2 linked regions of the Nothobranchius furzeri genome follow. The protein of the gene in region 2 binds, or shares a complex with, the protein of the main gene of each other region. Links are inferred from orthologs where the notes say so. Each region holds a gene or a part of one and is shown on either strand. Other genes may lie near its edges.

The links.
Region 1: the proteins of abl1 (region 2) and sh3bp1 are in contact, whole or in part, in a crystal structure (PDB 1ABO), measured with the Mus musculus proteins. The link is inferred for Nothobranchius furzeri from reciprocal best matches to the Homo sapiens genes ABL1 and SH3BP1. Residues at the interface, in NP_033724.2 of Mus musculus: Tyr70, Phe72, Ser75, Gly76, Asp77, Thr79, Asn94, Glu98, Trp99, Trp110, Pro112, Asn114, Tyr115; in NP_001303613.1 of Mus musculus: Ala607, Pro608, Thr609, Met610, Pro611, Pro612, Pro613, Leu614, Pro615, Pro616.

Annotation. Positions count from the first base shown.
Region 1 is NC_091756.1:27,534,426-27,546,830, forward strand, and holds part of sh3bp1 (SH3 domain-binding protein 1), read right to left. Parts: intron 9,941-12,405; coding exon 9,895-9,940; intron 6,813-9,894; coding exon 6,708-6,812; intron 6,634-6,707; coding exon 6,557-6,633; intron 6,464-6,556; coding exon 6,352-6,463; intron 5,699-6,351; coding exon 5,622-5,698; intron 5,538-5,621; coding exon 5,450-5,537; intron 5,355-5,449; coding exon 5,286-5,354; intron 5,212-5,285; coding exon 5,121-5,211; intron 5,060-5,120; coding exon 4,923-5,059; intron 4,845-4,922; coding exon 4,733-4,844; intron 4,493-4,732; coding exon 4,411-4,492; intron 4,308-4,410; coding exon 4,227-4,307; intron 1-4,226. UniProt on the Homo sapiens protein: GTPase activating protein (GAP) which specifically converts GTP-bound Rho-type GTPases including RAC1 and CDC42 in their inactive GDP-bound form.
Region 2 is NC_091746.1:53,699,096-53,711,500, reverse strand, and holds the end of abl1 (tyrosine-protein kinase ABL1), read right to left. Parts: intron 10,958-12,405; coding exon 10,793-10,957; intron 9,677-10,792; coding exon 9,381-9,676; intron 7,998-9,380; coding exon 7,725-7,997; intron 7,585-7,724; coding exon 7,500-7,584; intron 7,355-7,499; coding exon 7,177-7,354; intron 5,986-7,176; coding exon 5,801-5,985; intron 5,721-5,800; coding exon 5,568-5,720; intron 5,496-5,567; coding exon 5,406-5,495; intron 5,287-5,405; coding exon 5,158-5,286; intron 4,045-5,157; coding exon 2,432-4,044; 3' UTR 1,996-2,431; downstream 1-1,995. UniProt on the Homo sapiens protein: Non-receptor tyrosine-protein kinase that plays a role in many key processes linked to cell growth and survival such as cytoskeleton remodeling in response to extracellular stimuli, cell motility and adhesion, receptor endocytosis, autophagy, DNA damage response and apoptosis.

The sequences.
Region 1 (12,405 bases), on a different chromosome or scaffold from region 2:
GCAACATGTCTCACTTCCAAGAGTCAAGTCTGCCAAAACAAACCTGACCTTTGACTTTGGTGTAAAAGGAAATAAAATGACTCCTGTTTTTACTCCAGCATCACTCTGGAGCCTTGGCTCCATTTGAACCCTGTTTCTCTGAACGGAGGCTGTTCAGGAAAATAGAAGGAGGATAATTATTTATAACTTGTATCATTATTTTGAAGTTTTACATAAAAGCACACTTCAAAATGGCCAAAACATCTGTTCAGAAACTTGGTGCAATTTCTTTTGACAACAAATGCAACAAGTAAGTACAGTATCTATCGCTGTCTTGCTCCTCAAGCTGTCTTATTCACGTAAACCCAAAAAGAGAACTTGTGTGTTGGGGCCCTGCAAGCTGAAAATTTCTGTTTTTCTGCAAAAATGCAAGAGAGGTCAAAAAGCTGCTATTTGTTTGAGACCAAACCGTTAATTGGTATGCATTATATTTTAATTTCCCTTAACTATGTCAGAAAAACGAGAACCCTGTGATCATAATTAGCAAAAATTACGGTTTTGCAGTCTATGAAAGTGTGTTTGATGAAAAGCAAAACACTGAAGTCATCATTTTAAACTTAAAAATATTTAAAATGTACAGAATAAAAATGAAATTTAGTCTTCCCAAACAAGGTCAGCAGATCTGAGTTAACTGATCTGCAGTCAGTAACCGTTCTGTAGGTGTAGACTGACCTTTTCTGGATGTTACACCCTTTTGTAATAACCTCGGGAGAAACTTCAATTCAATTCAATTAAAAAAACTTTAATCTAATCATCCCCGAGGGGCAAATGAACATTTAACAACATTCTAAAGTGGAATAAAAGAAGAAATCAAAATAAGAAACTTTTTCAAATGCAACAATAAGATTTAATAATGAGGTTAAAACTCTAATTCCATGCTGTAGTTCTTTTTTAAAACACAGAACAGTTTTGTTTACCTGTTTGCCCGCTACGTTTCGTTTGCGGCTGCAAACTTCCTCAGGCTGACACCGATGGTGGCGTCACTTCCTTCTCCGCTTATCCGCGGGCAGCAGAGGACGTTGTCGCCCTCTGCTGCCCACTCTCTCCTCTCCGACGATGCAGTCCCATGCGTGGTCCAGCGTGTAAACTCCATGGTCTGTGTTCATGGTCCCACATCCACGTCTCCTTATCTCGATTGCTTCTTTTATCCATCTTTTGTATTTCTGTTGTTCGGTGTTTATGATCCTTGTGTTGTCCCAGTCCATTATATGGTTTTCTCTTGTGCAGTGATCTGTTACGGCTGATTTCTTTATTGTGCTTTCTGCCTCTTCTTTTGCTGCTCTTGTGTGTTTTCGATTTGCCTCTTTCTCGCACTCCTTTCTATGTTCTGTTGTTCGTGTGCTGAGTTGGCGTCCGGTTTCTCCTATGTATGTCTTATTGCAGAGTTTGCATGGGATTTTGTAAATGACTCCACATTTGTGTCCAGCTGGTATCTTGTCTTTTGGGTGCACTAGTCTGTTTCTAACTGTTGTGTATGGTTTTGTTGGTGTGTTTATGTTTTCTGTTATGCCTCTGATGTATGGTAGGGTTATCACTGGTTTTGGTTCTTGTCTTTCTGGGTTTCTGGTTCTTTGCTTTGGTTGTTTTTTTCTTTCTGTTGTTGTTTGTTTTCTTTTGTTTATTGCCCATGTCGGGTCTTTAAAGCGTGTTGTATGTGTCTGTTCTCTTGTTTACGGTCTCTTTCTTCTGTTACCATGTTTGCTCGGTGATATAATGTTCTGATTACTGACATTTTGTGTATGGTGGGGTGTTCTGATGTCCATAATAGATATTGGTCTGTGTGTGTTGGTTTCCTGTATGTGTTTATGTTTAGGGTCCCATCGGTCTGCCTGGTGATTTTCATGTCCATAAATGCTATGCTGCCTTCTGTTTCTGACTCATAAGTGAACTTTATGTTGCCTGTGTCGTCAATGTTATTCAAGTGTTGTGTTAGTGTTTCTGTTTGTCCTTTTGGTATGATTTCCAGTATGTCGTCTACGTAGCGTTTCCATAGTTTCATTTTGCAGTTTGGGGGGGCGGTGGCTATGGCTTTTTGTTCTAGGTCTTCCATGAAAAACTTGCACAGGGTGGCTGATAACGGGTTACCCATGGCGAAGCCTTCCAGTTGTTTGTATATTGCGTCATCGTATGTGAAGTAAGTGGAGTTAGCTACCAGTCCTATCAGTTGTGCTATGTCATCTGCTGTGAGGTTTGTTCTTTTGTGTAAAGTCTTGTCCTGTCTCATTCTGTTAACTACTATGTCTATGGTTTTTTGGGTTGGTGTTTTTGTGAACAGGGATGTGACGTCATGTGAGATGAGTATGTCGTTGTCTTCTATTGTAATCTCCTTTAGTTCTTTTGCCAGCTCTATGCTGTTTTTGCAGTGTTGATCTGTATTTCCTAATAACGGACTGATGATTTTGCTGATTACTCTTGCCATGTTGTATGTTGGTGTACCTATGCTGTCAACTATTGGTCTAAGTGGGGAGTTTTGTTTGTGTATTTTTGGCATTCCATATATTCTTGGTGTTATGTTTGCTGTAGGAATCCAGTGTTTGTACATTTTTTCTGTTATTTTGCCTTTTTCTTGTAGTGGCTTCAGTAATTTTTTCATGTTTTTCTTAATGTTTTCTGTTGGGTCTTTTTTAAGTATTTTGTATGTTTTTTTGTCTTCTAACATCTGTTGGTTATTTTTTCTCTGTCCATAACTACTGTAGTTCTTTCTTTGTCTACCGGTAGAATAATTATCTGTTCGTTTTTGGATAAAGCTGTCATGACGCCACTATCAGCGTCAGCCTGAGGAAGTTTGCAGCCGCACACAAAACGTAGCGGGAAAAGAGGAAAACAAAAGAACTACAGCATGGAATTAGAGATACGACACAGCAAGAACACACCTAAGAGGTTAAAACTCATCAGTTAAGTCATCTTTAAGAGAATAGTGTCATGGTCTGCGTCCTGCGTCTCCCTCATGTGTCTCCTTGTGTTCTCCATCCCTCTCTAGGTTTCTCTAGGGTTCCCTTATGTGTCTTCTTGTGCTCCTCATGAGCCTCCTTGTGTTCCCCAGCCCACTCCAGGTTTTTTCCCCTTAGGTGTTCCCTCCAGGTTTCAGTGTCCCTGTGTGTCCCCAACCCCCTCCAGGCTCTCTAGGTTTCCCTTACATTTTTCCTTAGACACCTTTTATCATTAGTCTTCTGTTAGGTGTTTTATCTAGTCAGTTTTCTCCCTCTAGTTCATTTTGCTCCCTATCCCATTTTTAGGTCTGGTTTCCTCCCCTGCTCCGTAGTGCTCCTCCTCTGTTTATTGGTCTCACCTGTGCACAATTCCCTAATCACCCAGCCCTTGTGTATATAACCCTGTCTGCGTCTGTTGGTCCATTGTTTTGTATCAGCGTTGTTTTGTCCTCCCCCCTCTTAGGTCTCCAGGTTTATTAGATTTTTTCCTCCTTGGATTTTATTTACTTTATTTCGACTTCCTAATAAAGGAAAGTTTTCATTGACATCTACTCCAGCCTCATGTCGTTCTGGGTATCTGCATTTTGGGTCCTACTCCTCCACTCCTCAGCGTGACAAATAGATGTTTATTTAGCGCAAACTGCAACAGCTAGCTGCAGCACTTTAGTCCTTCTGATAGGATGTTTATGATCATTTGATGAGAAATTGACAGAGGAGCAACATTTTTAAAAATGTTTTTATGACTTGCTTGTTTTTTCAGGTGGCAGCAACACTTTGGTCCTAGCCGTTACCTCATCAGTCTTTTCTGAACTCATCTCTGTTTTTACAAACTGAGGTTGGTAAAGGCACTCTGTTATATTTTAAATTATGTTCTCAAGCCAGTAGGTTCTAGAATGACCCTATCTAGGGTGAATGAATATTCTCTCAGCCCCCTCTGCTCTTTGTGAGCAGAACACCAAATTTACAGCCTGAGCCTCTCTGGATGTATCTCACACTTTACGGCAATCCATGTTTGCACCTCAGAACAGACGCACTACAGATGGTTAGCATTTATTGTATTGTGTTCGTCATGGCAGAGCCTCTTAAAAAAACTATAGATTAAAAAAAATGTCAGACGGACAGAGTCAACATCAGGAAAGCATTCTCTGAAATGTCAGAGCTCAGAGACAAACAAGGAGTTAAGTTGGATGCAATCCTCAGGTAAGATACTAATTATTCACAAGGTTCCTTATTTGTGCAACGATACAAAGCAGATACCTGAGGTTGTTGTAGTTGTCAGGTGGCAGCTTCTGTAGTAAGTCTCTGAACTTCTCCAGCTTCTCTGTCAGGTCCTTTTCCCTGTGAGACCAGAAACACACACTCTAGAGCTGAAATGACTCACTAACACACACACACACACACACACACACACACACACACACACACACATACACACACACACCCTGCTGCTTTGAACCAATCGTTGTAGAGTTCAAAGGTCATCAGGGGTTCGGGAAGCTCTCGAAGATAACACTTCAGGGCTCCTGTGTCAACAAAATTCAGAAAAATATTCACATTAATATAACTTTTTATCATTTGATTAATAAAGTGATGTTGGAACTATAAAATCCATCTGCTGCTGACATTTGAATCACATTTTACAAAAATGGAAACCGAGCTGTGAAAGTCACGAAGGTCGGACAGACGAGGAAGAGCACCCGTGACAGAAACTCGTGCTCTGGGCTGAGAAAAGTCAAGTCAAAGCCAGATGTGTGCATCTGTACCGGCGACAGCGTGAGGGTCCATGCTGAACTCGCTGTGGTCCACCGTTCCCTGATCCAAGCAGATCTTCAGCCTCTTCACCACGGTGGCTGCTGCTGCAAGCCGAAACAAACCCTACAGAGAGACAAGCATTGAGAGGAACAACCATGGGGAGTGCCTGAGCAGCAACATGGAGACAGGAAGTAGTTCTACCTCTTCTCTCATTCCTGTTTCCAGCAGCATCTGGATGCACTCCTGGATGGGAGCAGCGATCTCTCTGCTGCTCTGAGACAGATGTGAGAGTAGAGGTTCCCCGTAGACCTTCTGGTTGGAGAGGCTTAGTGCTGGCTCTGCAGAATCACACACACTTATGAACACGTGCTTATCAACACCGGCCCAAAGCATGCTCACCATTCTGACTGTGGTTCTCTTTGAGCTCGCTGATGGTTTTGTCCAGGAAATCGTGAGAGTTTTTGTGGTATTCTGCCTGCAGCTCAAGAAGCTGATAAAACAAGTGTGATGGTTAAAAAATACCAAACGGAAGATTTGGGTTATGACACACTTGTTGCAACTCACACGGATGAAATAGTTAGCGTAGTCGTTTTCTTTAGTTGCAAAGTGATACAGGTCAGCAGAGTATTGGTCCTATGGAGACAGAGAACAGGTGAGGAGGGGTCAGGAAGACAACAAACTCTCATTAAACCTGCAGCAGATCATGTGATCACAGGAAATTCTGATACCTTGATACTCTCTAACCTCCTCCATGCTTCTTCCAATTCCTCCCTGAGCCCATCCTGCTTTGCCTGTGGGCCAGTGCTAGCCTGACTCCTGTAAACACACACACACACACACACACACACTTGATATTGTAGCTCATGAACATACGCTCTTTCCGGAGGGTGGGCCACTCACCTGATTCTGGCATTGTTCCAGTCTGTAGTCAGCTTTGCAAACTGCTTCTTGTTCTTCAGAATCTCTGGTAAATCCTCCTAAAAGGAAAACTGACTTTAGACTTAAAACCTGAGAAGTTCATCTCAGGTTCTTTAGCCTCCAGGCATCAGGCTAGAGGTTAAAGGTCATGTTAGGACTGACTGAAGCAAGGTTTGTTTGGAAGGGTTGTGGGATAAAAACCTCCTTTGGTTTATAATGTTTTATCTAAATGAACTAGAAGACTTCTGGAATGATGTTCATCAGGCAGATTAAACCAAGGTAGAGATGTTTACCCATAATGCACTGGGTCATGTTTGGTGCAAACTAAATACAGCCTATCAGAACCAAGCTGATCCCAGCTATCAGCACGGTGGTGGAGAGCTGATGGTTTGGGCTCCTTACAGCCTCTGAGTCCATCAGGAACTCCTCTGTAGATCAAAGTTCTCTAGAGCCTAATGTGAGTCTGAAAGCTGAAGTTTGGACCAAACTGGGTCATAGAACAGAACAATGGTCCAAACACAGCAGCAGATCTATAACAGAACAACTAGAATCAAAGTGCTGGTGGTCCAGTCTGAATCCAAAGCTCACTAAGGCTGATTAGCTCTGGTTGCCATTTTGAATTGGGTTGACTCCTGGAGTATCATTCAAACCTGTCCAGTGGTTTATGGGATATCTGTGGTGACTCTGCAGCATGCAGCACTAGCATCACTACCTCACTGAGCTTATTGAGTGGCTCCACCACTTCCTTCTCCACCTTCATCTCAAAGTCTGCCAGCATGTTGGCTAGCATCTTCTCCATGAAGCAGCACATCTCCAGGACTCTCCTGTAACACAGACACACAGGTGTAAAACCACTGGGATCCGCAGAATGAGAGGAAATGGATGGAGGGATAACAGCAGCAGATCAAACCTGTCACCTGATTGAGGACTCTGCATCAAAGTCTTTGAGGCTTTCAGCCATGCTGATAGACAGCAGCATCAGAGGAAGCTTTTTCTGCACATAAGAACATTTTTGTTTTTATAATAACAAAGAATTACTAACATCTTGCAGATATAGCTTCCTTGTACCATTCTTTTCTCAGCCTCCAGCCCCGGCTGACTCTGCATGCAGCCTTGCAGCTTCTTATGGAGGACCTGAGCTGCCTTCTTGGCCGGCTCCACCCGCTGCTCCACCTCCAATTAGTCAGTAAAAAGGTAAAAACATACAGATAAACATTACTATGGTCAGTTTTTATAATGTAATTTTATTGTATTTTGGTATATATATATATATATATATATATATATATATATATATATATATATATATATATGTGTGTGTGTGTATAGTACATATATATTCAGGGTCTATTCAGGGTTCTGGAGAGGAGGGTCCATCGGATGGTTGAGCCTCAGATTCAGGAGGAGCAATGTGGTTTTCGTCCTGGCCGTGGAACACTGGACCAGCTCTATAAGTGGGCGATGGTGGCACAGGAGTTAAGTGCTCGCCCCGTAATCGGAAGGTTGCAGGCTCGAGCCCCACTCAGTCTGTTGCTGTCGTTGTGTCCTTGGGCAAGACACTTAACACACGTTGCCTGCTGGTGGTGGTCGGAGGGACCGGTGGCGCCAGTGCTCGGCAGCCTCGCCTCTGTCAGTGCGCCCCAGGGCAGCTGTGGCTACATCATAGCTCATCCCCACCAGTGTGTGAATGTGTGTGTGAATGGGTGAATGACTCATTGTGTTGTAAAGCGCCTTGGGGGGTTCCAGGACTCTAGAAGGCACTATATCAAATACAGGCCATCTACCATTTACCATACCCTTAGGGGGATCTGGAGGGTGCGTGAGAATTTGCCTAACCAGTCTCCATGTGTTTTGTGGATTGGGAGAAGTCATTTGAACGCGTCCCTCGGGGCGCCCTGTGGGGGGTACTCCGGGAGTATGGTGTACCAGGCCCTCTGATATGGGCTGTTAGGTCCCTGCATGACCGGTGTCAGAGCTTGGTCCGCATTGACGGCAGTAAGTCGGGCTCGTTCCCAGTGAGAGTTGGACTCCGCCAAGGCTGCCCTTTGTCACTGATTCTGTTCATAACCTTCATGGACAGGATTTCTAGGTGCAGCCAAGGTGTGGAGGGCATCCGTTTTGGTGGCCTGAGGATTAGGTCTCTGCTTTTTGCAGATGATGTGGTCCTGTTGGCTTCATCAGAACGTGATCTTCAGCTTTTGCTGGAGTGGTTCACAGCCGAGTGTGAAGCAGCTGGGATGATAATCAACTCCTCTAAATCTGAGACCATGGTTTTGATTCAGAAAAGGGTAGAATGCCTTCTCTGGGTCAGGGATGAGGTCCTGCCCCAAGTGGAGGAGTTTAAGTATCTTGGGGTCTTGTTCACGAGTGAGGGAAAGCTGGAGCATGAGATCGATAGGTGGATTTGTGCTGCATCTGCAGTGATGCGGGCGTTGTACCGGTCTGTCGTGGTGAAGAGAGAGCTGAGTCAGAAGGCGAAGCTCTCGATTTACCGGTCGATCTACGTTCCTACCCTCACCTATGGTCATGAGCTTTGGGTAGTGACCGAAAGAACGAGATCACGGATACAAGCGGCCGAAATGAGTTTTCTCCGCAGAGTGGCTGGGTTCTCCCTTAGAGATAGGGTGAGAAGCTCGGTCATTCAGGAGGGGCTCGGAGTAGACCCGCTGCTCCTCCACATCGAGAGGAGCCAGTTGAGGTGGCTCGGGCATCTGGTCAGGATGTCTCCTGGATGCCTCCCTGGTGAGGTTTTCTGGGCACGTCCAACCGGGAGGAGACCTAAAGGTAGACCCAGGACACGGTGGAGGGACTATGTCTCTCACCTGGCCAGGGAACACCTTGGGATTCCCCCGGAGGAGCTGGCCCAAGTGGCTGGGGAGAGGGAAGTCTGGGCCTCGCGACTTAGGCTACTGCCCCCGCGACCCGACTTCGGGTAAGCGGATGAAAATGGATGGATATATATATATATATATATATATATATATATATATATATATAATAAAGTTTGTGAGGCTAATTTTGATCATGGCAAGTCCTTGTGACTAAGTATTTATTAATCAGAGAAGATGTTTTAAAAACATCCATTTTCATGCAGTTTTTATGTTCTGATTCAAGTGTTTCAACCCGCAATTGCATTGCAACTCTGCTCTTCGGGGCCGATTCCCACTATTAGAACGACCACAAGCTTCTGTTTTGCAGAAGATCGGCCCAAGTTTCCTTCAAAAAAATTATCGTAGGCCTCCAGACTTCTGAACGCTTTTCATTTTAATGAGTGAATGGTCCAAAGTTTTCTGTTAAAAATGAATAAATGTCTCCCCAGCAGATTTGTGAAAACAACACACCCCAGAGCTCAAGCAAACATTTAAAAACTTCAATTTTGTCATCAATACAGATTTTAGGCTTCTTTCTAATCCTCCGCCGGTCTGTGGATGTAATTTTGCCCCTAAACTCTTGTGAAAATGTATGTTGTGTATTAATAGCAGGCCATATTTGTTTTTGCTACACAGCCACTCGTGCATGTGCACGAAGATGTTAACAAAGATTTTCCTGTAGCTACAGTGATCCCTCGTTTATCGCGGTAGATGCGTTCCAGACCTGGCCGCGATAGGTGAAAATCCGTGAAGTAGGGACACCATATTTACAGTACAGTACTATATTGAATTATCGTATGATCACATTCTCTTTTTGTGGGTAAAACTCAAGAAAAAAATCTTTTACTTGGATTTTTTATAATTTTATTACAAAAAGTGCATTTTATGATGAAATTGATGAAAAAAAACAGGAATTTCTTGATATTTCGCATAGAAAAATACCGCGAATCGGTGAAAAATACCGCAAATCTGCGAATTTCCCTTGAATAAGGCTCCAAAGAAAAAATCTGCGAAGTTGTGAATCCGCGATAAACGAACCGCGAAGTAGCGAGGGATCACTGTACACCTAGCTGCAGGTGCTCACTGTGTTCATAGAGCTCTTCATTTAAACTTCCTGTAGGTGCAAGGGGATCAGAAAATGCGTTTTGTCCTCACAAGCTCCTGTAGAAGGAAACGTAGCGTCTAACCCATAGGTCTAACCAGAAACTCAGACCAGCACTCATGTGCATTAGACCTGATTTTAACGGTTATGTTACAGAGTTGCCAATAGTTCCGCCAATAGAGTTTTGATGGATGTTTCCAGAGAATAATGGCAAAAACTTCACATTGTCTCTTTAAGGTGTTTGAAATCAATCATGATGTCAGAAAATAGGTAAAAGGCTCACCACAACAAGGTCTTCGTGTAGAAGGTCTGTGGCATCTTGTGACCTGCTGTAAAGCAACATGTTTGTTAGCCAGTGGCGGCTCCAGAAACTTTTTTCTGCGGGTGCTATGAAGGAGCTAGTCTTTTTATTGAGGGTGCTATGAAGGAAGTGGTCATGCGTACCTATTGTTCTCTAAAACACCTTCAACACTAGCAGATACATATGCGTGCACAACACCTCAACAACACCTGAAACAATCATTAATATACATCATAAACATGTGAACAATCGCTGACTTTTCCATGAAATCATAAACACATACAGCCACACAGAAAACCATCTATAGTGTTGCAAGGTTAGCTAACGTTAGTGTTAGCATTACCAGCGGCAAAACCCTCGACTGCTGCGGTGGTTGAGGGTCGACCCTCTTCATCCAGATTCGTAGGTTTTTGTGGGTCTGAGATCACTTCCAAACATTCATTCGTTTCTGACTGAACCTGTGGAAATTTGGGCCAGTGGCGGAGCCAGGGGGGTGCTAGGGGGCGCTATAGCTACCCCTGGATTAGCCATTGCACCCCCATAGCACCCCCAAGTAAGTATTAGATTTTTCTTTGTTTTTACAAACTAATTTTAATTTAACGTTTGGATGTGATAATATTTAACATACAAAACAAAAATAATCAGTAAATTATCATATAGATAGTAAAAACTTAAACCACAACAGGAAATTGATGTTAACCTTTGACCTCATTTTCCACCTGCGAACGAGTGAAAGGTAAAGCTAGTGGTAAAATGGATCAGTTTTTGTTGCCCACGTTTCCACGGGTTCAGTCAGAAACGAATGAATGTTTGGAAGTGATCTCAGACCCACAAAAACCTACGGATCTGGATGAAGAGAGTCGACCCTCAACCGCTGCAGTAGTCGAGGGTTTTGCCGCTGGAAATGCTAACGCTAACATTAGCTAACCTTGCAACACTATAGATGGTTTTCTGTGTGGCTGTATGCGTTTATGACTTCATGGAAAAGTCAGCGATTGTTCATATGTTTATGATGTATATTAATGATTGTTTCAGGTGTTGTTGAGGTTTTGTGCACGCATGTGTATCTGCTAGTGTTGAAAGTGTTTTAGAGTACAATGGGTACGCATGACCACTTCCTTCATAGCACCCTCAATAAAAAGACTAGCTCCTTCCTAGCACCTGCAGAAAAAAAATTCTGGAGCCGCCACTGATTTGGGCAACAAAAACTGATCCATTTTACCACTAGCTCTACCTTTCACTCGCAGGTGGAAAATGAGGTCAAAGGTTAACATCAATTTCCTGTTTTGGTTTAAGTTTTTACTATCTATAAGATAATTTACTGATTATTTTTGTTTTGTACGTTAAATATTATCACACCCACACGTTAAATTAAAATTAAATTGTAAAAAAAAAAATCTAATATTTACTTGGGGGTGTTATGGGGTGTAATGACTAATTCAGGGGTAGCTATAGCCCCCCCCCCCACCCCCCCTGCCGGCGCCACCACTGCTGTTAGCTAATCCAGTTTATACATATTTACCACCTGGGGTGGGTTTCAGTCAAAAGTTTGGAAAATATGTAAGAAGCAGCTTCAGAAACTTCAGATTAAAGGAACAGAGTTGAATTCTGACAACACAGCCCGCCAGCACTAACCCAATATTTTAGTGAAACTCACCCATACATTGTTACTTTAGCAAAAATTATATTAAATTTTAGTCAAACCTGTTAATCACTCTTTTTTGGTGCAAATACGTCCCACAGAAAAATGAATAACTATAATAAAATTTGACATAAAGCAGATTTCATCTTCTTAAAAATAATTTTGCTGCTTTTTTAATACATTTATGCGAGTGACTGATGTGACTCTTTCAAGCTTTTTTAGTTAAAGTTTTCACACTATGATGACATTATTAAAAACACCAAATTCAATTACAAATTCATTAAAAGTCAACTGAATTGGTATGTTTCAACCCCAGATAACTCTGCACATCAAATGTCAACGCTTCCAAAGACGCAGCAGAAACACTCTGACATGGCATTTGTACTAACAGTGTAAAAACAGCGTAAAATGTAAAGCTGTGAAGAGTCCACAAAGTTAGTGATAATGCACAATGTTCAGTATAGTTCAGAGCCACTGAGAGGAGGAAATAAATAAGAGGAAGTGATGAAATACAACTGCAATTTAAATGTCTGGTAAAAATCAAAACATAATAGCTGGAAAGGAAAGAAAAGAAACGAAAGTACAGAGGAAATTGTAAAAAAACAACAATATTATGAAAAAGAAAACTATTTCTAAAATCTAAAGCAGGGATATTCAATTTGATCTTTTTGTTGGGGCAAATCGTCATAAGGCTTTTGTATGCAGAGAAAAAAGATCTGTGTGTATCTAGATTTGTGTGTGTGTGTGTATCTTTTGTTCTCCCCATACTTTTGCCAGTGGGCTGCTCATCCATCTCTTGTATTGTGCCATTGTCTTTTCTTTTTAGTCAGTATGCACACAATTCAGAGATG
Region 2 (12,405 bases):
CACTGTTGTTGAGATTACCCTAATTGGATAAAAAGTTGCTCTTAACCCTCTCAGGTTCAAAATAAGTTTTGATAAAAGGACGAACAACAAAGTCCTTCAGGGGTACTTCTGGGTTAAAAAATGCTCATGAGATACGTATGTGGAGTAACCAGGTAGGTAGGTTTTAACTTGCAAATCTGCAACGCCTGCCTCCTGAGGGTTAATGTTATTTATAAAAAAATCTGAAATGACGAAGTGTACTCGGCATGATTAGGTGTTAAAAAACAAAACGCATCTAGCTCCTATCTTAACGAAGCTGCACTGAAGAGCTGATGGTTGTTCATTTGGATCATTGTTGCTCTGCCTTGTGACGCAAAGCAGTATGTCCCTCATCTTAGAAACATGAAGTTGTGCTAATCAAAATCTTTGAATTTCCTTTCAAGTACGACTTTTCTGTAACAGCGGCCACCCTCCCGACTGCTGTATATATTGCTTTCCTGCTGGTGACGACCTCGTTACTGTACTTCCGGTTTAAAACTTATTTGGTGGCTCTGCTGAGATCTTGTACAGTTTGTGTGCTTGTGGGTTGCCTGTAATTCATGCTTGGAAAATTGTGTAACATAGTTTCTAATAATTGTAAAGGACAGACACATAGAAAGCCCTCACTCCCCCAACCACCTTGTCTGCACACTACTGAACTTGCTTGTCAAGGGGCAAGGAGGTGGAATGAGATGATGTCATGCAAGCCAGTACTTACGTCTGCAAATTTTGTCTCATCTTATTTCCGTAAAGAGTGAAGAACAGAGCACATTCATGTTTATATTTTTCTTTTTCCACCCAACCATGGTTCACCTGTTCGGGAGGAGCCGTCATTGCAATCTTAACTTTGGGGGGGGGGGGGGTATTTGTTTTTGTGGGACGGCTGAGCTTCCCTCTGTGTTCCTCTTCAGTACAATTTTGAGTGAAAATACGTAAATATGTATACATTTTTAAGGAGCTGCGCTAACATTTAAATGCGTTCTTACGTGTATATGATTTTAAAATGTTGACATTTTGATTTTAATGATAAAATACTCTAGTCAGAAAAAAATAAATTATACATAACCTGAATCTGTGTGTGTGTGTTTGACTTTATGAAAGAAAATGTGGTGGCAGGAAATAACATTAAGATTCTAATTTGTATTTCAAGTCGCACAATGGCTTTGTATTTTATTGCAACAAAAATTGCACCCAGGTTAGAAAAGAAACATTTACAAAAGAAGGCAATTTGTTTACAAAACTTAGTGGTATGTACGGGTTTTTTTATAGAGGGGAATAAAAGGCAACCATGACCGTACCAAAAGTCAACGCAGGTAACAGAAACATTTGTCCTCAGGCTTCGCAGTCAGGCGGGGCACAAAATAATACAACCACTACAGAACAAATACTGAAAATGTTCAAGAGATGCAAATGAAGGAAAATAAAAAGATGAGTACATTTTCAGTCCAGTGTTTCCCCCAGGACTTCTTTATTTCTGGGGTGGAAGGTCTTTACATACTGTAGGCCTTTATTTTTGATAAAACCCTATCAGGAAAACAGCCTGTTGACCTTGTTGCCCCGATCCAACGCTATGCTACCGATGGCTTTTATTTGAGAGAAATCTGTATCGTCAAACATTTGCATATATTAAAAAATAAGATCCAGTCTAAGAAAAGGGTTCAACAGATCACCAAATTGCAGATCATGCACCTGTGCCAGTCGGTACAGCCAAGAGGCGTGCTGTTTTTTTTCTCTAGTGGAATTGCAAACATTTACGTTCCGTGAACCAAAAGCCACTCTCAAGCATGCCAAAGCTTTATATTTGCACCTGAACGTGTGAAGGCTGAAGCAGGCCTGCTGGTAGTGTTACAGGCACCGTTTGTTACCCAAGTGTGCAGGAAAGCAACATAGTGAAGGAAGGCTGGAGGCTCAAAACTACCTTAAGCCAATGCTCCCATTACTTTATGGCACGTGGTTGCCAACACTCTTAAAAACACACTTGCACAATCTCATCCGCATACAACCCAATACGAAAATACAACTTAAAATGCATCGATGAGGTTAAGTGTTTATAGTAATTGTCGAAGCTCAACAAAAACGAATGAAAGCAGACATTTTCATGATCGTACTGATTTGTGGGAGGGGTTAAATCAAATAGAATACATAAGACATCAATTGGAAGATGATTGGTGACATGGAGAATTGGCCCCAGCCTCATTAAGGCCTACGTGATGTGCATTCAAAGATACAACTGTCTAAAAAGATCCACATACATTTTCAGCTGACTCAGTTCATTGTAACCACAGGATTAATAGTCAACTGTAACGAACCTACAGCGCTGTTCTCAAATGCATCACACCCCTCACTGGCCACAACACAGAAGGAGTAATGGAATTTAAGTTCATATAGTCTCGATCATTGGACGTTTAAGGTGCTACCTCTGAACTATGTCCGTGATCTCCTTAATCGAGGACAGCAGCTTTTTGAAGTCCTGCTGAGCACTAGAGCCCCCCGTGGCAGAGGGGCAGATTTGAAGCTCACGCAAGCTGGTCTCAAGCTTGTTGTTGGCCTCTCGAAAAGCAAACTTGTTCCTCATATGTTGAATGGAGTCAACATAGCTCGTGCAGTACTTCGACAGGTTCTTGCCGGTCTCCAGCACGGCGCTGTGGCTCCCAGTTTGATCCTCCATGCGGGAGATGGCGAGGAAAAGCTGCTCTGCCCCATCCAGCAACATGTCACGCGTCACGGCTGAGTTTGGTGTGCGCTCGGAGGATTGGCGGGGCGCTGTCTTGCGGAGAGAGCGTCGAGCAAATGCGGTTGAGTTCTGATCGGTGTTGGGGGTGAGAGAGAAGCCTCCCTGGCTCAAGCTGGAGGGAGAAAGGGTCAATGAAGTGGAGGGTTTGAGCGGTTTATAGGTAGAGCTCAGGGGCGCCTTTTTGGATCCCTCACTGGTGGGCGAGCGTGCTTGGTCACTAGCAGCAACTGTGTGGTGGGAATCTGAAATGGAAGGAAGGTACTTGATTTTGATGTCTGAGGGGGAAGACGAAGGGGAAGACGAAGGTGAGGGGAGTTCTTGAGTGGGGCTACGGGCGATCTTACTGGTTTTGGCACCAGTGGGAGGTGGAGGTGGGGCTGGTTTGGGTTTCTGGAACTTCCCTCTTCCCCTGACAGACGAGGACTCTACCATGTGCTTGCCTCTGCGGGCTTTGCACTCTTCAACTCCTCCTAAAGTGAGTAACACTTCAGCACCGATCCTGGAGTTCTCCTGCCCGGGCACACCGGGTCTCTTTACCACCTTTGGTGTCAATGCCTGGAAACTGGGACCAGAACAGGGTTCTGTGTCTTTTCCAAGGAGAGAAGAAGAGGCCTCTGAGGAAGTGTTCAGACGTGGTGGAGGAGTCAGGGTGCCCATTCGCCGGGTGTTCTCTCCTTTCTGCTCATTGGTCCTCTTTACCGGGAGAGCTGGTTTACCTCCAAGAGTGCCTGACTGAAAGTGGCGCTGGCCCAGATCTCGTGGCAAAGTGACTGATTTCCACTCAGTACCACCTCGACCATTGGACATGTTGGAAGGCAAGAGGAACCGGTTTGAATTAGAAACGGACTCCTCTTCACTAGGTGGTGTCATGGCCATCTTGCTCCCAGGACCAGGTGCTGTAGAAGCTGCCTTCTTTCTGGAGTACGAAGTTCCTGGGTAGTTAGCATTACCTCCTGCACCATTATTGATAGCAACCAAAAACTTTGAAGATTCAGTGCTAGGGGATGTGTCATTAAGTGACAAAGATGCACCGTTGTTGAAATTGTCATTGTCTTGAGGATCAGGAGTCACAACTCTCCTGTCGGTGTGGAAGTCGTCTCTGAAGGAGGAGCTGCGTACAGGTGGAGTTGGTGCACTCTTTTTCTTTTTCTTGATGAGGCTGAGGAAATTACTGACACGTGTCTTGTCTCTGGGCATCAAGCGGTCGTCTTCATTCAAGTTGTTGTCCAGCATGGAGTGCTCTTTCCTATGAAGCATTGGTGAGGAAACAGCCACCTCCGGATCCACTGGGTCTGAGGAACACCACAGACACGTCGCAGGTGAGAAAAACAGGAAAAAGTTATCCAATAAAAAATACATAAAATAATGAAAACTACTAAAATTTATGTGACATTTGAAAATGAAACATTTGAAACCACTTCTATAGCCACAACTCCACTATAAAAATTGTACAAAATTTCTGAGAGAGGGAAAATATGATGGCTCGGTCTGGTCCTCCCAGCCCTTTTAGGACTTAGCTATTACATCAGTATAACACAACTGCTTTGGCGGTGAGGGACGTCACTGATTAGATGCAAAAGGCGTCCACAGACATTTATAACATTAAAGGAGTTTGATTTTGTCAAAGTACGTAGGTCACATCGTTCAGGGCAATGGTTCCTAACCTTTTTTCACGAGAACACCCTTTCCTGTGTCCAAGACAAGCCAGGGCCCCCCAACCCTTACTCCTACGTGCATGCACACAATTAAAGTGAATAATTACAAATATATACAGAGTGGTGCCTCTATTGGGTGTGTTATCTGGATTTTATAAATGTAGTTTTTACAACTATAATCCTGGTAATCTCATAACTGCAGCACATACAAAATTGTGGGGAACCCCTTGGGGAGTCATGGACCGCAGGTTGGGAACGACTGGTTTAGGGATGGCAGAGAGCTCTTGTTTGACATGAAAAGCTGCAATCAATAAACAGAAGAAACACTAGTTTTTATTGTGCTCTTACTAAAGACCATACAGCAGCAGAAAGTGGTGCGTTGTGGAGGAACTGTTGCCAGACTTGTTGGCATTGGGACTCTAGAAACAGCAACTTTAAAGCAGTACCAACGCGGCTTATTTTCTTTTTCTTCCATTCTGCTTCACCAGAAACCCTTCCAATTTCTAAATACCAGCTGTTTGGTGACGTCTACCGATAGAATTATTTCCCACTGAATGGCTTAGAAAGCAGTCCTTTCGGCTCGGCCCAGTAAAATGGAGCAACGCAAAAAAACTGTGAAGGTCTGGTAAAAAATTACCCAGAAGTTCCGAAAGTGGAAATAAGTCCAACACCTTGAAGCCCAACCAGAACTAAAAAGATAAATCAACCATAAAGAAGACAAGCAACCAGAGAACGTGACGTGCATCCCACCTGGACTGTCTCTGTCCCTGTTTTCCGTGTTTCTGCGGAAAGGTCTGGTCTTGGTGGGCAGCTCTGGAGCCTGCTGGGTGGAGCCTAATGTTGTCTTCTTCCCCTTTTTCCCCAGCTCCTTCTCAACCTCTGTAATTACACAGATCATGTGTTAACATTTTCAAATACCACTGTGATTCGTTTCTTTTAATTAGGATATCTATAATTCAACACTAATTGTTTTTCTGATGATAAGAAGCAGCACTGACCATCAGAGATGCTGGATTCCTGGAACATGGTCTCAAAGGCTTGGTGTGTTTCAGCAAAAGTTGGCCGTTCCACAGGGTTCCACCTCCAACCTGACAGGAAAAGTGGAATATGCATCAAAACATGTCCTGAAGAAAAGAAAATGGCTGGATTTTTGTACTCACAAGCTGTCATGAGCTCGTAGACCTTCTCTGGACAGCCTTCAGGTCGTTCCATGCGGTAGTCTCTTTGCAGCAGCTCATAGACTTGTGACAGGTCTATGCCAGGGTAAGGAGACATGCCGTAGGTGGCAATCTCCCACAGCAGCACACCAAATGCTAATCAAGAGACAAAAATAAAGAGTTTACAGGAAGAGTTAGATAATGTAATAGGGGAATAAAAAAATAAGAAAACCTACCCCAAACATCAGATTTATTAGAGAATGTGTTGTAGGCCAAACTCTCTGGAGCAGTCCACTTGATGGGGAACTTGGCACCAGCATGAGCGGTGTACGTATCTCCAGTCATTAGGCGACTCAGACCAAAGTCTGCAACCTTCACCAGGTGGTTTTCACCCACCAAACAGTTGCGGGCAGCCAAGTCCCTGAGGATAAAGACTAGTTAAAGGGACAATTTGCAACTTTTTCATATTTTTAAATCATTTTCCTCTGCCAGTATGTGCTAAAATGACCCTTTACAGGATTAATGAAAGGCCACCCAGCCCCTATTGCCCCCTGTGGCCAGAATATTGTACTTGCAACATCACAGCTGCTGGTCCGGTCTGCTGGGACTAAAGTCTAATTTAGACTTCGTCTGCGCCGGGACGGAGACACGCAACGTCATTATCCATCCTCGCAAGCCTGCTGGAGATCCCTCGTAAGGACAGGCGGAGTTGAGCTTTTTTCTAAACATCTGTTCGACGAGACGGAGAACGCAAGCTTGTGATTGGTTAGGACGCTGCTGTCGTCTACAACCCCACCACTGCGCCCTCAAAAACAAAGAGAGCCGAGGATATCGAGCGGCAGACACAGAGAAGCTTGAAGAAGACTTTGTGGAAAAACTCTAAAAATATGAACGTTTTATTCCCCCGTGACTGGAGGAGTGAAAAGATGCGCAGCAAGTGTTTAATTTGTGGACGGAAATGACGGGAAACATGGGTTTAGAGGTGGTGAGTGCATGAAGAGGTGGAGGAGAACGACGGACAAATTTGCCCGTGTAAAAGTATGAAATAAAACTAACACAAGGATACCCCAGAACAGCGCTACGCCCTCTGTTGTCTTGGCGGGGAATTGCTTTGTGACACTTCCCAGCAAACGGAAAGTATGAAAGCAAACAGTCTCCGTCTGTGCGTGCGTGTCTCTCCCTTGTGGAGCTGATGCAGAAGTATGAATTAGACTTTAGAAAAAAATGAGCTGAGGTACCTGACGCAGCAGTCTGCTTCCATCATGTTTCCTGCATGTTTTAGATCATGAACCCAGCTGATTTGTTTAATTTAGTGATGAATCACTCCTGTAGACACTTAGGACCGCTGGCAGACGTTTCAGCTGGTAGATTGAAGTGTTAAAAAGATGAACGCAAAGCGAGGAGGAGAGTAAACTGACACAAGGGGGTGCTAAAAGCAAGCAAAACTGCTTAGTATCCCTTTAATAGGACTCTATGTAACACACTGACACTGTAGGTAACGGTAATGGTAACTCACTGCCATTAGTAGGATAAAGATATGTGAAATACCATCTACACACGGATGTTGCAGCATCAATGACCCTTCAGTTGTTCTATAATTGAATTTAGCCACCTGTGTATGAAGTTTTTCTTCTCCAGGTACTCCATGGCAGAAGAGATCTGAGTGGCCATGTACAGCAGCACCACGGCATTGACCTCTTCTCTGTTGCACTCTCTTAGGTAGTCCAGCAGGTTTCCGTGGGTCATGAACTCTGTAATAATGTAGAACGGCGGCTCTCGTGTGCACACACCTGCCAGCAACGTGTATAAAAAACGAAAACAAAGTTAGACTTTGATGCCTCCTTAATCAGATTTCATGAAAGGTTACAGCCGTGTTGAATGAATCTAGTGAGACATTTGGAGAATTTTTCATATGCACATGTATTTAGAACATACCCAACAGCTGCACAAGGTTAGGGTGTTTGATTTCTTTCATAACAGCAGCCTCTTTGAGAAACTCCTCCACCTCCATTGTGTCTTCCTGCAGATTTGACCAAAAGAAAAAAAACTGTAAACTGGGTGCAGTTGCTTCTTTGTTGCAGCAGATGGCAGCATTATTTAGTCAGATTCACAATGTTTCCACCGGGCACAGCTACATTAACTCCCGTCCTTTGTTCATACCTTAAGTGTCTTGACAGCCACAGTGAGGTTGTATTTCTTCCAGACACCTTCGTAGACCTCCCCATACTGGCCCCCTCCCAGTTTGTGCTTCATGGTGATGTCAGTGCGCTCCATCTCCCACTTGTCATAGTTGGGAGAAACTCCATAGATGGTGGGCTTGTTGCGTTTTGCTGCTGGGTAATGCAGAGTGGTGATGAGTCCATCCTGCACGGTGGAGTGGTGGTGCACCAGCTCTGCTAATGTGTTGAAACGGCTCTCTGATGAGACATACAGCTGATGGGAGAAGAGTTTTTACAGTCAATCAAATATATTAGAAACATTATTTCAGCACTAACACAATCTAAATTTACTTTATTATTTAAGAAAAAGACTTTTTAACTGCGTTCTAGTGCTAGAAAGTCTGGTCTGAAAACAAAATGAAATGGTATAATCTGGAAACAGTTATAACTGGAAAAGTTGTGCTCTTGGCCAATTCCAAGCTTGCACGGCATTTGTCAGGAAGCTGGTGGACAGAAGGATATTGGTCAGGGCTCAGTGGACACAGACTTTTCCATTATTCAAGTCTTACATAATACTAAAAATGGTTTCCGCCAGTATGTTCCGTGTGAATTACTTTGCATTTTATTAGCTTGCATTGTGCAAGACTAGGGGGACACAGAAGACAGAGGTAAAGAATACTCTTAAAAACCCTTAAAAGATGTGCACAAGCGTAAAAATAGAACTAATTGGACAAATGATATGCAGTCTTGATATACTGGAACCATCGGTTATCCTGCCACTGAGTGAGTGGAAAACGATGCGAGAGGAGAAATATCCATGTGTCTGTGTTTGTGCATTTGCTTTTTCATGTGCGAGCAGACATACTTGGCTACATCTGTCTGCACTAAGCCTTTCTCAGCATGGGTGTGAATATCTGGGTCAGGCCTCCTGTTCGCTGCTTGTTACCAGAAGCACAGTGGTGGTCAAAGACATTTTTGTCATAGCTAAAGTTCCTGAAGCTAGCTCACCTCGTTTCATCACACACAGAAGGGTGGCACAAGCAAAAGGCAGTCCCACAACAAGGACTAAGCTCTAATCTCAACCTAACCTGAACTCCTGAACTTATCTGAGCACAGCAATACAGCTGTCAAATAGTGTTGTGGGATTTTCATAGACCAATATGAAAGGAACGATACTAGTGTGCTACAGCTTTGTTTCAACTAATGTCAAAATGCATTCATCCATAAAACTCATTTAAAGGGTTAAAAACAAGAATTGAGAAGCTTTTGAGTGACTTTTTTGTTTGGTTTCAACAGTAAAATTTGTGCCTTTCACACTATGTTACAAGCTCTTTGCAGAATGTTTTACAGCGTTTAGAGCAGCAGCGAAGGGTACAAACAGGATGTTTAATCCTTATTTTTTGTAACACTTAAGTCAGCACATAAAGACTGGCAGCACTATTGTCAACACTAGCCAACACAAACATTTCCCCTATTATTCTCTTTAGACTCCACACCTGAACTGAAAATGTATCAAACCGGTATGACAGTAAAAAGAGATGTGAGCTGAAGGCTCTGCTATAAGGTTGAAAGATGAAATAAAATGCATTTATGATCATCTGTAACTTGAGAGAAGGCATGTTTGAAATATATACTCCAAGTTTCTGATATGGCCAACCTTGCCGTCTGATGCAGTGTTGATCCTGTAATGGTACACTCTCCCCTCATAACGCAGAGAAATGGACCTCTGTCCGGGGCTGCTCTCGCTCTCTCGGACCAGAAAGCTTCCGTTGATGCCGGAGCTGAGCAGGTACTCTGCGGCGTTGCGCGACACGGGTCCGTGGTACCAGCTGTGCTTCTCCAAGCTGTTGACCGGAGTGATGTAGTTGGACGGCACCCATCCCTGGCCATTCTTGGTCTGGGCCTCGCACCACTCACGGTTGGGGTTGTAACACAGAACGCGTAACTTCTCTCCTAAAACAAAAAGGAGTCAAAATTAGCCTGAAATCTCAAACACTAATTATTTTTAGATAATGGAAAAAAGTCATGAAGTAAACCTAATAGTTATAAGATCTGTTATCTAGCAAAATATATCCTAAGAAAAACAAGTCTTAATTTTATCAACATGCGGAGTGATCCGATGCTAGACGTTTTATTGTTTACTTTAACGACTATGTTCCCTCCTTCCTTCCTCCATTTGTCTGGGTGATCCATCTGCAGTATTGTTTTACAGTTGCTTCGGTGGAAAAAGACCCATGAGTCAGAGCTTTGTCAGGAAGTGGGAATCAGATGGGAGCGGGAAAAAGAGGGGGCACAAACAAGGAGATTCCCAGTGGGAAAATCTCCCTAAAGGGACATTTATTCACTATCTGTGTCCCTTCCAATCAAAGGACACTCCTAAGGTTGGACATTTTGGAAAAAAAAAAAAAAAAGGAAAGGTTTGCTGTAAATAGTTTGTGCTGACTATGCGTTTAAGGTGACTAGAAATATTCTACTAGTTAATTACATAGGTATAAGCAGGGATCTAAAAATTTAATTTAAGATCCTTTCAAGTACTGCACAAAATACTGCATTGCTTCGTTTTCCGCTTCAACAGGTGGCGGGATATGCCACGTCCAGGAAGGCAAGGCTGTAGCAGTGGTACGAAAAGTTGCGTGGTACGAAAACGCAAGCAAACAGCCGGCATAGGAGAACAAAAAATAATCTTATTTTATTAGTTTACTTGCATTTATTTTTCATACCTGCAAACTCTGAAGGTGTGAAAAAGGTGACAAATGTCATATTTGGCTTCTACAGGGACCATATTCTAGCCTAGCGAACTAGACCAAATTCTTGCTTCGCAAAGTTTATACTCACATAATTAGTCTGGCTTGTTTGCAAGTATGAGACAAATGTATTTAATCCACGTCAATACTAACCAAATTTAAAACTACCGGTATTTAAGAAAGATGATCTAAGATGATTTAGGAAAATTTACGGGTCTTTAATTCGATTTAAGGCTTTTAAAGACTTTGCAAGACCCCGCGATTACCCTGATTCATGCCTGGTTACAAAACCTTCTTGCTGAACACACCCCAAATAAGCCGTTACCTTTAGTGATGCTCAGTGTGTTGTCACCGCTTGCAACAAAATCGTAGAGTGCAACAAAAAGGTTGGGGTCATTCTCGCTGGGTCCTGCCAACAGGTTCTCTTTGGAGTTCCAGCGGGCTGCTTCTGACAGACCCTGACTCTCAAAGTCTGGCCTTTGGAGAGCTTCTAAGAAAAACACAAAGATAAAAGCCCATCAGAAGAGTGACAAACACAAGATATGTAGGTGAATGTGATACAAGCCTGTGATGCCCCTTTTTCCCCAACACAGATTTATAAAAACTCAACAATTCAGCAAGAATTTTGTAGAATTGCTCCACCTGCTCACAAGTAAGTCACCTGTGATCCCACAAAGGGGTAGAAGTAATGAACCCGATCTTACGACCTCCACTGTCCCTCATGAATCAGCAACTTTTCACTTCCTGGATTATCCTTACTTACCTTTTAATTTTCTCTGAAACTTGAATGTAGATGACTATCCCACATCAAAACCACGAGCATCCAACTCAACCTGTAACTTTCATGGTGTCTGTAAATTGTAATGCATAAACCTCACAGCAAGACAACCCAAGTTCAAAGAGCTCTAGTTATGTTAATGACAGACTATATGAATTATAGCAATTTTAGAGCAGTATAAGTGATGGATAAAATAAGGTATGTGAGAAAATAAGAGTAAAGGAATATGGCATTTGAAAGCAAGATCACAAAGACTGTTTGTGGTGAACACAAGTTTAGCTGGTTGGTTACCAATGTTGATACACGTCTGACATTTAATACCCCCAGCACAGCTCAAATATTTTTAACACCAGGCTTACCTGCATTTGGTTTTAAATTTGCAGTTAGATGTGAAACAGAAAATTTTCATTTTAAATGTCAAGGTTGAATTTAATAGCCACAAAGCTCATAAAACGTGAACTTAATCCTAGAAAATTGTATAATTGTTGGATAACTATAATGTGTGTGTGTGTGTGTGTGTGTGTGTGTGTGTGTGTGTGTGTGTGTGTGTGTGTGTGTGTGTGTGTGTGTGTGTGTGTGTGTGTGTGTGTGTTAACTAATATGCAGATTTAGGTCAAACTGGCCCAATGAAAACATTTGAATGCAAAAACATTTCAGCTTTTTGTATTGGACACCATCTTGGCCTATTCTACAGTCGGCTGTTTAACGAAGTGATGTTGTTGGTAAATCTAGTTCACCTCAGCCTCATCGGCTTTAAAATCAGGGCCTTGACTTTCCCTTTCTAAATCACTTCTGACAGTGGAACTTCACCACAACGTCTCATATACACACTGGTTTGTGTGCTTGGATTTGAGTAAATCTAGTTTGGTTTTTGTCATATCCCACATTATCAGAATCTCCAACTGCTTTGCCCCATTATTGGTGCTAAGGATTCACAGCACAGGATTTAAATCAGACATCAACATTAGTTCATTTCAAATGCATCCACTCATCCAGTGACATATTGTTCTAATAAAATAACAATTTGGCTGCTAATTGGCTGATGAGGCCATTTCAGCTTTAGCAACTTTCAGAACTACTAATGGAAGAGGAAACGAGTCAATAAAACTGCAAATGAGATGGATACTCACAAAGGTGAAAACAATTAAATAAATTTGATG